Arabidopsis thaliana: one gene and its partners. The protein of the gene in region 1 interacts with the protein of each later gene in a pairwise test. Each region holds a gene or a part of one and is shown on either strand. Other genes may lie near its edges. The genes, in order: BZS1, HAC1 and AT5G12980.

The links.
Region 2: the proteins of BZS1 (region 1) and HAC1 interact in a two-hybrid assay, tested with the Arabidopsis thaliana proteins (one large-scale study listed by BioGRID).
Region 3: the proteins of BZS1 (region 1) and AT5G12980 interact in a two-hybrid assay, tested with the Arabidopsis thaliana proteins (one large-scale study listed by BioGRID).

Annotation. Positions count from the first base shown.
Region 1 is NC_003075.7:18,204,896-18,208,650, reverse strand, and holds the start of BZS1 (B-box zinc finger family protein), read left to right. Parts: upstream 1-1,966; 5' UTR 1,967-2,229; coding exon 2,230-2,415; intron 2,416-3,047; coding exon 3,048-3,590; 3' UTR 3,591-3,755. UniProt on the Arabidopsis thaliana protein: Acts as a positive regulator of seedling photomorphogenesis. Plays a negative role in brassinosteroid responses.
Region 2 is NC_003070.9:29,722,572-29,726,326, reverse strand, and holds the start of HAC1 (histone acetyltransferase of the CBP family 1), read left to right. Parts: upstream 1-1,691; 5' UTR 1,692-1,975; intron 1,976-2,202; exon of another isoform or gene 2,203-2,205; 5' UTR 2,206-2,342; coding exon 2,343-2,536; intron 2,537-2,696; coding exon 2,697-2,811; intron 2,812-2,948; coding exon 2,949-3,210; intron 3,211-3,294; coding exon 3,295-3,755. Other genes in the region: AT1G79010 (Alpha-helical ferredoxin), read left to right, coding at 49-102, 224-315, 393-506, 753-820, 903-1,014, 1,094-1,189. UniProt on the Arabidopsis thaliana protein: Acetyltransferase enzyme. Acetylates histones, giving a specific tag for transcriptional activation.
Region 3 is NC_003076.8:4,106,482-4,110,236, reverse strand, and holds the start of AT5G12980 (Cell differentiation, Rcd1-like protein), read left to right. Parts: upstream 1-2,004; 5' UTR 2,005-2,097; coding exon 2,098-2,265; intron 2,266-2,706; coding exon 2,707-2,778; intron 2,779-2,953; coding exon 2,954-3,043; intron 3,044-3,165; coding exon 3,166-3,208; intron 3,209-3,441; coding exon 3,442-3,548; intron 3,549-3,755. Other genes in the region: CLE40 (CLAVATA3/ESR-RELATED 40), read left to right, coding at 469-562, 662-708, 902-1,003.

The DNA of each region.
Region 1 (3,755 bases):
TTATTTAACACAAAACAAGGACAGTGATATATCGATGAATGATTGGATTTTGTTAGGTTACACAAAAATATGGAAACAAATTTGAAATTAATTGGAGTCCATCGATGAATAATTGATGGTAGTAGTTAATTGGTAAAGGTCCCATGCATACTATTTTATAAGAAGGAATGTCTAAAAAGTGCACGAAGAACCTTTTCAAAAAGTCCAGTAGTACATCCATGTGACTCAAGATCTACAAATATTATATAAAAAATTTGATCTCTTTTAAAATCACGCAAAGAACCTTTTCTTTTTTTTCTTTGAAAACGATTTGTTACCTGGTTTGTTTGTTTTTCTTTATGTACATCAAATGCAAACCAAAAGACGATATGATTCCACGCAGCAGCTTGGATAAAAAAAAAAAAAAATGAGATCAACAATATCGTTTTTTAGTACCAAGTCCTGACGAAGTTACTTCGTTGAAACCCAAACTCAAAAATTCTTAAAAATTTTCTTCAAAGAGTCAGTCAAAATGAATGTATAGATTTTTAATGCAAGAAGGGAAGTTGACAAAAAAAAAATAAGTAACGAGGGGAAAGATTCGAGAATCGAGAGAGATCATCCATATCTTCTTCCTCTAAAAGTGTTTTTTGTCGTCTTCTTCCTCATAAATTATATATTATCTAAAATTATTATTCTTCAAAAGATCAGATCCACTCTACTTATTTTATATCAAAAGTATTCAGCGTTTATTATACCAAAAAAAAACTCATTTAAATTCGAACAATATGGCCGACATGACCGCAAAGCTTATATTAATACGAGTATGTTTGGTTATTGGGATTACTACGAGAACATTTAAGAAATTTCATTCATTAAAAAGATACATGAACAAGCGATGATCATGTCTAGCCTGTTAATACAATTAGATCATGTCTAAATCTCAATTCTCAACGGTCATTAAGGCCACTTTATAACGATTACAGCATATTGTACCATTTTCAATCAAGTTAGACAGAACCGATACAAACCACCGGAATAGAAACTGAACCAAAATCTGTAAGAATAAATTGAAGTTCATAAAGCTATGGTTTTTAAATAAGCTATGGTTGGTTAGGTTTATACCGAAACCAATATCAAATACATGGCAGTGTTTGTTGAGTGTATGAAGAAGATTGGAAAATGGATTTGCCATTCAATAATTTATACTATTTGTTCAACTAATACACATAAAATCTATATAAAAAAAAAGAGCGGCGATATTTATTTATTGAGGTAAAAAAAAAAAAAAAAGGAAGTAGATATACACATGGATGATGGAAGACAAAAGCTGGCATGAAGAGCTGGCCATTTCTCAAAGTTCCCCCACCTTTTCCATTTCTTTAATTAGTTTTTATTTCGATTTTTTTGTCGTTTCTATTAATTAGATTAACTAGCATCTGACTAAAAAGATGAATTTTAGACCAAAAAGATTGTACTATTAAATTCCACTTTTGCACTTTTTCTTCCATAAGAGCCTTAAAAGTTCCCACTTCTAGGCCTCTTTACCTATTTCGGTAATATAAAAGAAACAATTAAACTGATTCATCATTTTTGTTTTTCCTTACATTCGTATAAATTACATAATATTTTTCTAAAGCATTAAGAGTTTAAGACTCATTTAAACTAAAGAAACAAATGAGCTTAACTACCAATTAATAGTTCTCAGTGTTATTAAATGAAACAAAAATTAACTAACTTAATCATACTAGTACTACCGTCAAGTTCCTATCAATTATAATATCTGCCTCCTTCTATGAAACCGAAATTTAATGTAATTTGTGATTAAAACGTATACTAATTGACTTACATACCCGGTATGCTTTTGTTTAAGTTCCCTGAATTCTAAACCAGATCAAACCGGGTGTGAAACCAAAACCAAAACAAGTCAATTTGGGGGCATTGAAAGCAAAGGAGAGAGTAGCTATCAAATCAAGAAAATGAGAGGAAGGAGTTAAAAAAGACAAAGGAAACCTAAGCTGCTTATCTATAAAGCCAACACATTATTCTTACCCTTTTGCCCACACTTATACCCCATCAACCTCTACATACACTCACCCACATGAGTGTCTCTACATAAACACTACTATATAGTACTGGTCCAAAGGTACAAGTTGAGGGAGAGAGTGAGAAGAAGCAATTTTGTTATATTCAAGAAACAATAAAAAATAAAGTTATTTTTGTAATACAGAGAGGAAAGAAAATAGAAAGATGAAGATTTGGTGTGCTGTTTGTGATAAAGAAGAAGCTTCGGTGTTTTGTTGTGCGGATGAAGCAGCTCTTTGTAATGGTTGCGATCGCCATGTTCATTTCGCCAATAAACTAGCCGGGAAACATCTCCGGTTCTCTCTCACTTCTCCTACTTTCAAAGATGCTCCTCTTTGTGATATTTGCGGGGTACGTAACAACAAAATTTAACACTTCTCTCTTTTTTTTTGCCTTTCTTGATAGAATTATAATCTTCACTTGGAAAATTTGTGAGCTTTTAGATATGTTATAGTATTGATGGAAATCTGGTTTCATGAACGGATGTTTCGGGTGACCTGAGTCACTTTTTTTTTCTTCTTTCTTTCCGAGATTTGTTTGTTGGTTGGTGAGAAAATGATTATTTGGCAACAAGTTTACTTCCTTTCCTAGCAAATTTGAGGTTTCACACAATTTTTGACGAGGAATTTTATGGCCACGACCAAATATTACTTTTCTCAAAAAGAGAACAGAGATTGAGCTTACCAAACACCTTGGTGATTTATTTGGTTACACACTAATCAAACTTAAGATATTAACCAATTAAATCGAGTTATTAGTTATTACGATATTAAAATACTTTCTTCTTTGGGAAGGTAAGCCGTGGAGAAAAGGATATTTCTTTTTGCTGTTCATTAAATAAAATAAAACAATAAAATGGAATGTTTTTTGTTTGAAAAGGTCAAATCTAGCAGATAAGTATGTTTTAAAATAGATGGATACAAAACAAGAGTCTTCTTGATTATCTATTATTAAATGGTACTAAACCTTTATACATATGACAGGAGAGGCGTGCATTATTATTTTGCCAAGAAGACAGAGCAATACTATGCAGAGAATGTGACATTCCAATACATCAAGCTAATGAGCACACTAAGAAACACAATAGATTCCTCCTTACCGGCGTTAAGATCTCTGCCTCCCCGTCAGCCTACCCAAGAGCCTCCAATTCCAACTCTGCTGCTGCATTTGGTCGAGCCAAAACCCGACCAAAATCAGTATCGAGCGAGGTCCCGAGCTCGGCCTCCAATGAGGTATTTACGAGCTCTTCTTCGACGACCACGAGCAATTGCTATTATGGGATAGAAGAAAACTACCATCACGTGAGCGATTCGGGGTCGGGATCGGGTTGTACAGGTAGTATATCCGAGTATTTGATGGAGACATTACCGGGTTGGAGAGTGGAGGATTTGCTTGAACACCCTTCTTGTGTCTCCTATGAGGATAACATTATTACTAATAACAATAACAGTGAGTCTTATAGGGTTTATGATGGTTCTTCACAATTCCATCATCAAGGGTTTTGGGATCACAAACCCTTCTCTTGAACTTATTTCTGTCGAATTATAGTCTTTTTTTTATAAGTTGGGGTTTGTAATCATGAATCCAAACCAACTTGTTGTTTTCGTTTTTTAGTATTGTTGTTTCTATATTTATCTCACATTATGATTTTAAATTTATTTTGTCAACCAATCCTCTTTTAATCTTAGTTT
Region 2 (3,755 bases), on another chromosome or scaffold:
GAGATTCTGATTCATATATGACTTATGGTTTGCGTATGTAATATTCAGATGATGAAGAAGCAGAGCAACTTTCTAAGGAAATCTCCAAGGACTGGAATACTGGTAATCCATATGATCTAGACAATTTTACTTTTTTTCTCCTTTCTTCTTTTCTTGTACGTCTATCTTCCTTGGTGTTTTCCTCCCCGAGTATTAGTGATTCCTGATATTCTCAAATTTGTAGTCTTTGAACGGAGCATAAACACCCTGTTCCTCACAGAAATGGTCCGCGGTTTGTCGCTGACCCTCAAGTACTTCTTTGATCCAAAAGTTACTGTGAGTGATATCTTTTCTAGTCTTCCAAACTTAGATTGAAAGAAATCTGTGTTACTGAAGCTCTTTCGTGTATGCAGATCAATTATCCATTTGAGAAGGGTCCTCTGAGCCCTCGCTTCCGTGGTGAACATGCTCTTCGAAGATATCCTACCGGGGAAGAACGCTGCATTGCCTGCAAACTCTGTGAAGCTGTGAGTTTTGAGATCGATATGAATCCTTCATTTAATTTAACGTTCTCTTTGTTCTGATATGGTACTCTGAGTCTATCAAATTCATCTTAGTAATTAGGAAAGCTATTTGAGTATGAGTAATATTTACTGTTTAGTCTCTAGAGTTCTGATGAAATGGTCATATTAGCTGACAATGATCTATTTAGTGTGTATAAAAGTTCACCACGGATTGTAATTCTTGTGAGGGATACTTGTCCTTTTCATCAGGTATGTCCAGCTCAAGCAATCACAATAGAGGCAGAAGAGAGGGAAGATGGAAGCCGCAGAACCACTAGGTCATCATCCCTTTAGTTCTCATTTATCAACCATCTGCTTTCTTTATTACCCTTTCATGATGATTTGAGCTGTATCGTACAGGTACGATATCGACATGACAAAATGCATCTACTGTGGTTTCTGCCAAGAAGCTTGCCCCGTTGATGCAATCGTTGAAGGACCTAACTTTGAATTCGCAACCGAGACACACGAGGTCTGTTTTTCACATTTTCTAGACCCTAATAATTTTCGAGGCATGCTTATTGAAATTTTTGTTATATTCTCTATGATAGGAACTTCTCTATGACAAAGAGAAGCTTCTTGAGAATGGAGATCGATGGGAGACAGAGATTGCTGAGAATCTGAGGTCGGAGAGTCTCTACCGCTGAACCATTCTACAACAGTCTCTGCTTCATTCAACTTGTTTTTCCCGGGGAAACATTTTCGTTGCTTCTGTTTGAAAATAAAGACGAGATCATATGCGTGTGAAAACTCTTTTGTAATCCAGATTTTGTGCTGTGTAATTGAATTGTTTGTAACCAACCTGACTTTGATTTTCGGTTCATGAGTTCCGGTTATTAGGTGTTTTCGGTTCGGAGAAAGAGCATTTAATTTGGTCAAAGACTGAAAACAGATAAGTCTTAAGCTACAAGGGTATATCTGTACATTAAGAAATATTTGATCGGACGGACAAGATCATGTCTTTTTTTTTTTTACGGCGGACGGACAGGATCATATGCTTATAGTTTATCCTAATCTGTCCGATCTAAACATAATGCTTGTCGATTTTTTCATTTATTTGCCTTTTGGTTGCGCCAATTATCGTATTCAGACAGCAAAATTAATATTTTAATGTGTATTTTTTGTTGAGTTACTATTTTAGAAAAACAACGAATCCCTAGAAAGGAAAGAAAAAAAAAAACAAAATCCCCAAATCGAGCGAGTCCAAAGAAAAATCCCAAATTCGACGAACCTACAAGCCCAGAACATCCCCCGATTTGGGAAAACCTGAATTCATTCGCTTTTGATTTGCCATCTTCTTTCTGGGATTTGTCTACTGCTTGATCCTAATTTCTGACCTCGCTTTTGGTTTGAGTTCACACGTGCCGCATCGGCTGTTCACCGGCTTTGTTTCATTGTGCAGACTCCAATCATCGTACAATCTGTAGCAACCGGTTGGTCTCCGTCAAATTTCTCCACTTTGTTGCCAAATTTTACTCCTTTTTGTATCAATTCAAAGATTGGGGGTGAATTTTTAGGGTTTATCATTTTGTTCATTTTTGGTAACTATTTTGGGGTTTAATTACTTCTTTAGTTGATACTATGATTGATACTATCTCCCAATTAATATGAGATCAAATTGTGACAATTTCAGTTCTCTGATTACACCAAGTTTTTTTAGCAGGACATTCTCTAAGGTGCTAAATCAGGAGATGAAATTTGGATACTGTGACTTCTGGAGGAGAGGAAAGTTATGCAGTGTTTGTTACTGTTAATTACCAGAAGAACTAGGACAAGGCGACGGAGACTGAAGAGGTAGCTATGAATGTTCAGGCTCACATGTCGGGGCAGGTTTCAAACCAAGGGACTATGTCCCAGCAAAATGGGAACTCCCAAATGCAGAATTTAGTTGGTGGTGGTTCAGCTCCTGCTACTGGTGCTGGTTTAGGACCTTCACGCGTTTCTCCCGTTGACAATGACATCTTGAAACTTCGGCAGGCTATGCGAATCAGGATGTAAGCCTTTGCTTTTCTCAAGCTTTTGACTTTGGTGTCTTCCCACCATTTTGCAGTTATATTTCCTTGCTCTTGTTATACGGCTATTTATTTTGGATTGGATTCAATATCTCCAGTTTATCGCCAATCAAATCCGTGTATTTCTCTTCTTTCTTTTCAGTTTCAATATCTTACAGCAAAAGCAACCATCTCCAGCTGATGAAGCATCAAAGGCTAAATATATGGATGTTGCTAGACGCTTAGAGGAGGGGCTGTTTAAAATTGCTAACACAAAGGTATTTATTTAATATACTTAAGGAAAGGATAGGCACGTATTTGGCATTTAAAATTTTGCCACTAGATCCAGCTTGTTGGCTAATGTCCTAACTTGAAATTTCTTGTTAACGTGCTACACTTCCATTTTGAATCGCAGGAAGATTACGTGAACCCGTCAACCCTTGAACCTCGGCTGGCAAGTCTAATCAAAGGCAGGCAGTTAAATAACTACAATCAGCGACACGCTAATTCTTCTTCGGTTGGAACAATGATACCCACTCCAGGATTACAACACAGTGGTGGGAATCCAAATTTGATGATTACTTCCTCAGGTGATGCTACAATGGCTGGAAGTAATAACATCACAACTAGTGCTATGAACACTGGAAACCTGCTAAATTCTGGTGGCATGCTTGGAGGTTCTTTCACTACAACTTATATAAAATATGGGCATAAAATTTTCTGCGCATATTTTTTCTGAACACCTTTACTTCTCTTTGCAGGTAACCTGTCTAATGGATACCAACATTCATCGAGTAACTTTGGTCTTGGGTCTGGAGGGAACATGTCATCCATGAGCTCCCAGAGAAATACCGGCCAGATGATGCCTACCCCTGGATTTGTCAACAGTAGTACTAATAACAACAGCAATAATGGCCAGTCTTACTTGAGTGTTGAAGCTTCCAACAATAGTGGTGGATTTTCTACTGCTCCCATGATGGTACCTCAGACTCAGCAACAGCAACTGAGGCAGGATATTGGTGGCCAAAATAGTCGTATGCTGCAAAACCATGGAAGTCAAATGGGTGTTGGCCTTAGACCTGGAATGCAACAAAAATTGTCTAATGTGTCTAACAGCTCCATAAATGGTGGTGTTGGAATGAATGCAAAAAGCGTAGATTCAGGTACATCCTACACCAATCCTATCAGAAATTCACAGCAGGCTTATGATAATCTTCAGCGT
Region 3 (3,755 bases), on another chromosome or scaffold:
TAAGGAACTTACTAACAACTTTTGCTTGGCCTATAAGATACAGCGACAACAAAGCTTTCAAAAATTCCCTAGTTACCAACTGGGTTCATTAATGGGCCGATAAGGAAAGCCCACGATCTTCTAAGAAGGATTAGCCCTAGTTTCCTCTGCTTCGTTGAAAGACAACTTAAAAAATGGCGGGAAGTTGTGACAATGTTTGGTTCGACAAATAAGCGGAGACGTGGCGGCGATACGTGGCACCACGACATTTGTACGAGAATGATAATTTGTCTTGGTTCGAGCCAGCCTGTAAACGGTAATCTGTGTCCGTACAGCTTAAATCTCATCCCAAAAAGAACAACCAAAATGACGGATTTGGCCCCAACAAAGCTGTAAAACGAGGTTAAAACCCGGAACTTTCACCTTATTAGACGACGACACACCTCTCGTCACTCTTGTCGAGACTCTTACCACAAAGAGGTTTTTGAAATGGCGGCGATGAAATACAAAGGAAGCGTTTTTATCATATTAGTCATCCTTCTTCTTTCGTCCTCACTACTTGCTCACTCTTCTTCTACAAAATGTAAGTGTCATGTGATATGTTTAATAATATTCTCATCTTTATTCATCGTTTGGGTTCAAAACATGATGAATCAATCCTCTTTGTTCTTTTTGTTTCTAGCCTTCTTTTGGTTAGGAGAAACACAAGATACGAAAGCCATGAAAAAGGTAAGAAAATCTCTTCCTAGAAACACAACGCGACTGTTTTGAAGGAAATGAACAATTCGTTTCTTATTTTTACAATAAAAAGTATGAAACTTTTTGTTTTCTAGCTAGCTCTTTGCATTTGATATTCGTTTGTATTTTTCTATATGATTTTGATGCAAAGATGATTAATTTTTTGTTTTGGTACTGAAAACAGGAGAAGAAGATTGATGGAGGAACAGCTAATGAAGTTGAAGAAAGACAAGTTCCAACTGGATCCGACCCTCTTCATCATAAACACATTCCTTTTACTCCATAGATTCATTCCTTATATCTTTTTTCTGTATCTTCTGTTTCCCATTGTTGACATATTAGTTTGTAATGCTTTTCACATTCTAGTTTTGAGTTTTGTTTATCCGAATGTTAAATTTCTATTTCAGGTTGAAAATGATTAACTTCGTTATTTACTATAGAGTATTTCAATTACTTCAGCCAAGATTTTGTGGATGCTTTGGAAAGATGCCAAAGCGTAACAACTTCCAATTCAATTTTTGTGATGAGTTAGTTCTCAAGATGAAGTCGGAAGCATTCGTGACATCAATTGTATATATAAATTTTGGGTTTAGAGTGTTTTAAGTTGGTATCAAATCACAATTAATTATTCTGTGACATTTGTTTCTAGAAGAAACTTGGGAAAACCGATCTTTTGGATGTGAAGTGGTAGATTGGTTGTCTAAGGTTTTGTACTAGAATTTTGTCTGATTTTAGTTTTAAAACGGTAAGATATATTTTCTTTATAAGGACAATATGGTGTATCTAGTTCTAATTTTGTGACTGTATATAGATTTGTTGATGCTAGATTGTTTGTCAATAAAATTATTGCATTGACCTTAATTAGTTTCGGTAGCCAATCGACCACTACTTGTTGAGTTTTGGAGCCACATATTCCCCTTGCATGTTACACCGAGTGACACGACAAATTCATGTTAAACAAAAATAAAAGGATATACGGTTAAACTATTTATTGTACCGCAATAAATAAAGATATTAAATCAGTTTATTTTGGCGCCACAAACAAAGTAGATATAGTGTGTGTTTTTTTGGCTTGTTGATATCAAAATACCTATGTTTTTTTATTGTCTTCTACATTAGCTAAGTCATAATGTGAATCATGTAAATCTTATAATCTATCTTTCAGAATCTTAAGTTGTGTGAGGCACGGGAGAGTCACGTGAGAGTTTTTTTTTTTTTTTCACAAGTCACGTGAGATTTAGATTTGAACAAATCCCGTAACGGAGCAAGCGAGGCACGTGACATACACGCCCCCCTTAGGTCCTATAAATACATCTCCTCCTTTCACTGTCACAAGTAGCGATTCTCTCTGCGGCGCGTGTAAACGGTGACGGGGCTCTAATGGCTAATCTTCCTCCTCCGCTCTCCATGAAATCTGTCGCCCTCTCAGGAGCTTCTTCTCCTTCTTCTTCCTCCAACAACGATCGGAAGCTATCATCGGCGGAGCAGTTAATTCTCGATCTCAGCAATCCCGAACTCAGAGAAAATGCACTTCACGAGTTGTCTAAGGTCATCTCTCTCTCACCGAATTCTCTTACTCGCGAATTTTTGATCGTTTGGGTTTTCGTTTTCTGCGTTCTATTGAATGGAATTTCGAATGTATTTGGTTGTTTAGTCCGGTGAATCGTAGACATGCTTTTAGATTACCGACTCCTAATTCTTCCTTGCCGCAAATTTTGAGGGAATTTGTACGATTATTGTTGAGATTGTAAACCTGCATGAATAGGGGATGAAATTAAATAATCGAAATAGTTCAACACTGATTAAGGCGTTGATCTCGATTGGTGAGCAATTTAAGTTGGTATGAGGATTCTTCACTGAAGTTAAACGTCTGGACAATTAAAAAATCAAATGGTTTTGATGTTTACTGTACTCATTGCTTTTGATTTCATACATTAAGAAGTTCTTCTCACTGAAATTCATGTCTAATCCCGTGTTTCATTATTTCAGAAGAGAGAGATCTTTCAAGATTTGGCTCCGCTTTTATGGCATTCTGTTGGTACCATTCCTGCTCTTCTACAGGTACCCTCTCCTCCATGTTATTATATGGCACTTGTTCCTTTATTCTTCAGGGGAATTTATTTATTGATTTCTGGCTTCTCTATATACTGTTATAGTTTTAGCATTTTAACTTTTGAGATTTGATGTACATTGTATTGGTTAAGATCTAGTCATTTTCTTTCTTTCCTCTTTTCAGGAGATTATCGCAGTTTACCCTGCCCTATCTCCTCCAACCATGACTCCTGCTCAATCTAACAGGGTGTGCAATGCACTTGCTCTTCTTCAGGTGCATAAAATATTGTCAGTTTCCTCTTTCTTTTTTAGGGAGACTTACAAACGTTTATATATGTATGTTCAATTTGGAAGACTCTATTTTTTATTGATTCGACTCTTTTTTCGTACATCCAGTGTGTTGCTTCTCATACTGATACGAGAATGTTGTTCCTAAAAGGTACAGTCCTGTGCCCGAACAATTCTTCCTTAGTTCTCATTCAAATAATTTCGGTGTTTGCTCTGTGACTAAAGTTATAGAGATAGATTGCATTAGTTGAATACCCAACCCGTCTACCAAAACTAGTTTTAAGAGCCACCTTGTTGGTCTCTTTCTGATTGATCTCATTTATTAGATGTGTGTTTGGCTATAATATGCTTAAAGTTTAAAGTCTGTTGCTTTTCAAAATACAGCCCATCTGCCATTGTACCTGTATGCTTTCTTGAATACATCAAGCAAATCAAGACCGTTTGAGTACCTGCGGCTGACTAGCTTGGGGGTTATTGGTGCACTTGTTAAGGTATGTATTGATATTTGAGTTTTGTTTCCTCGTCTAGTTATTTAGTATGTTTATGCCAAAAAGGCAGGAACACTTCTTTTACATGCTAACAACTGTTTGGCTGTAAATAAATATTTTGGTGATTTGAGAAACAACGATTTTAGCATGCTAAGACCTTTGAGTAGATCCTGTTAAGACATCATTAGTGATATTGGTCTTGCAACATCG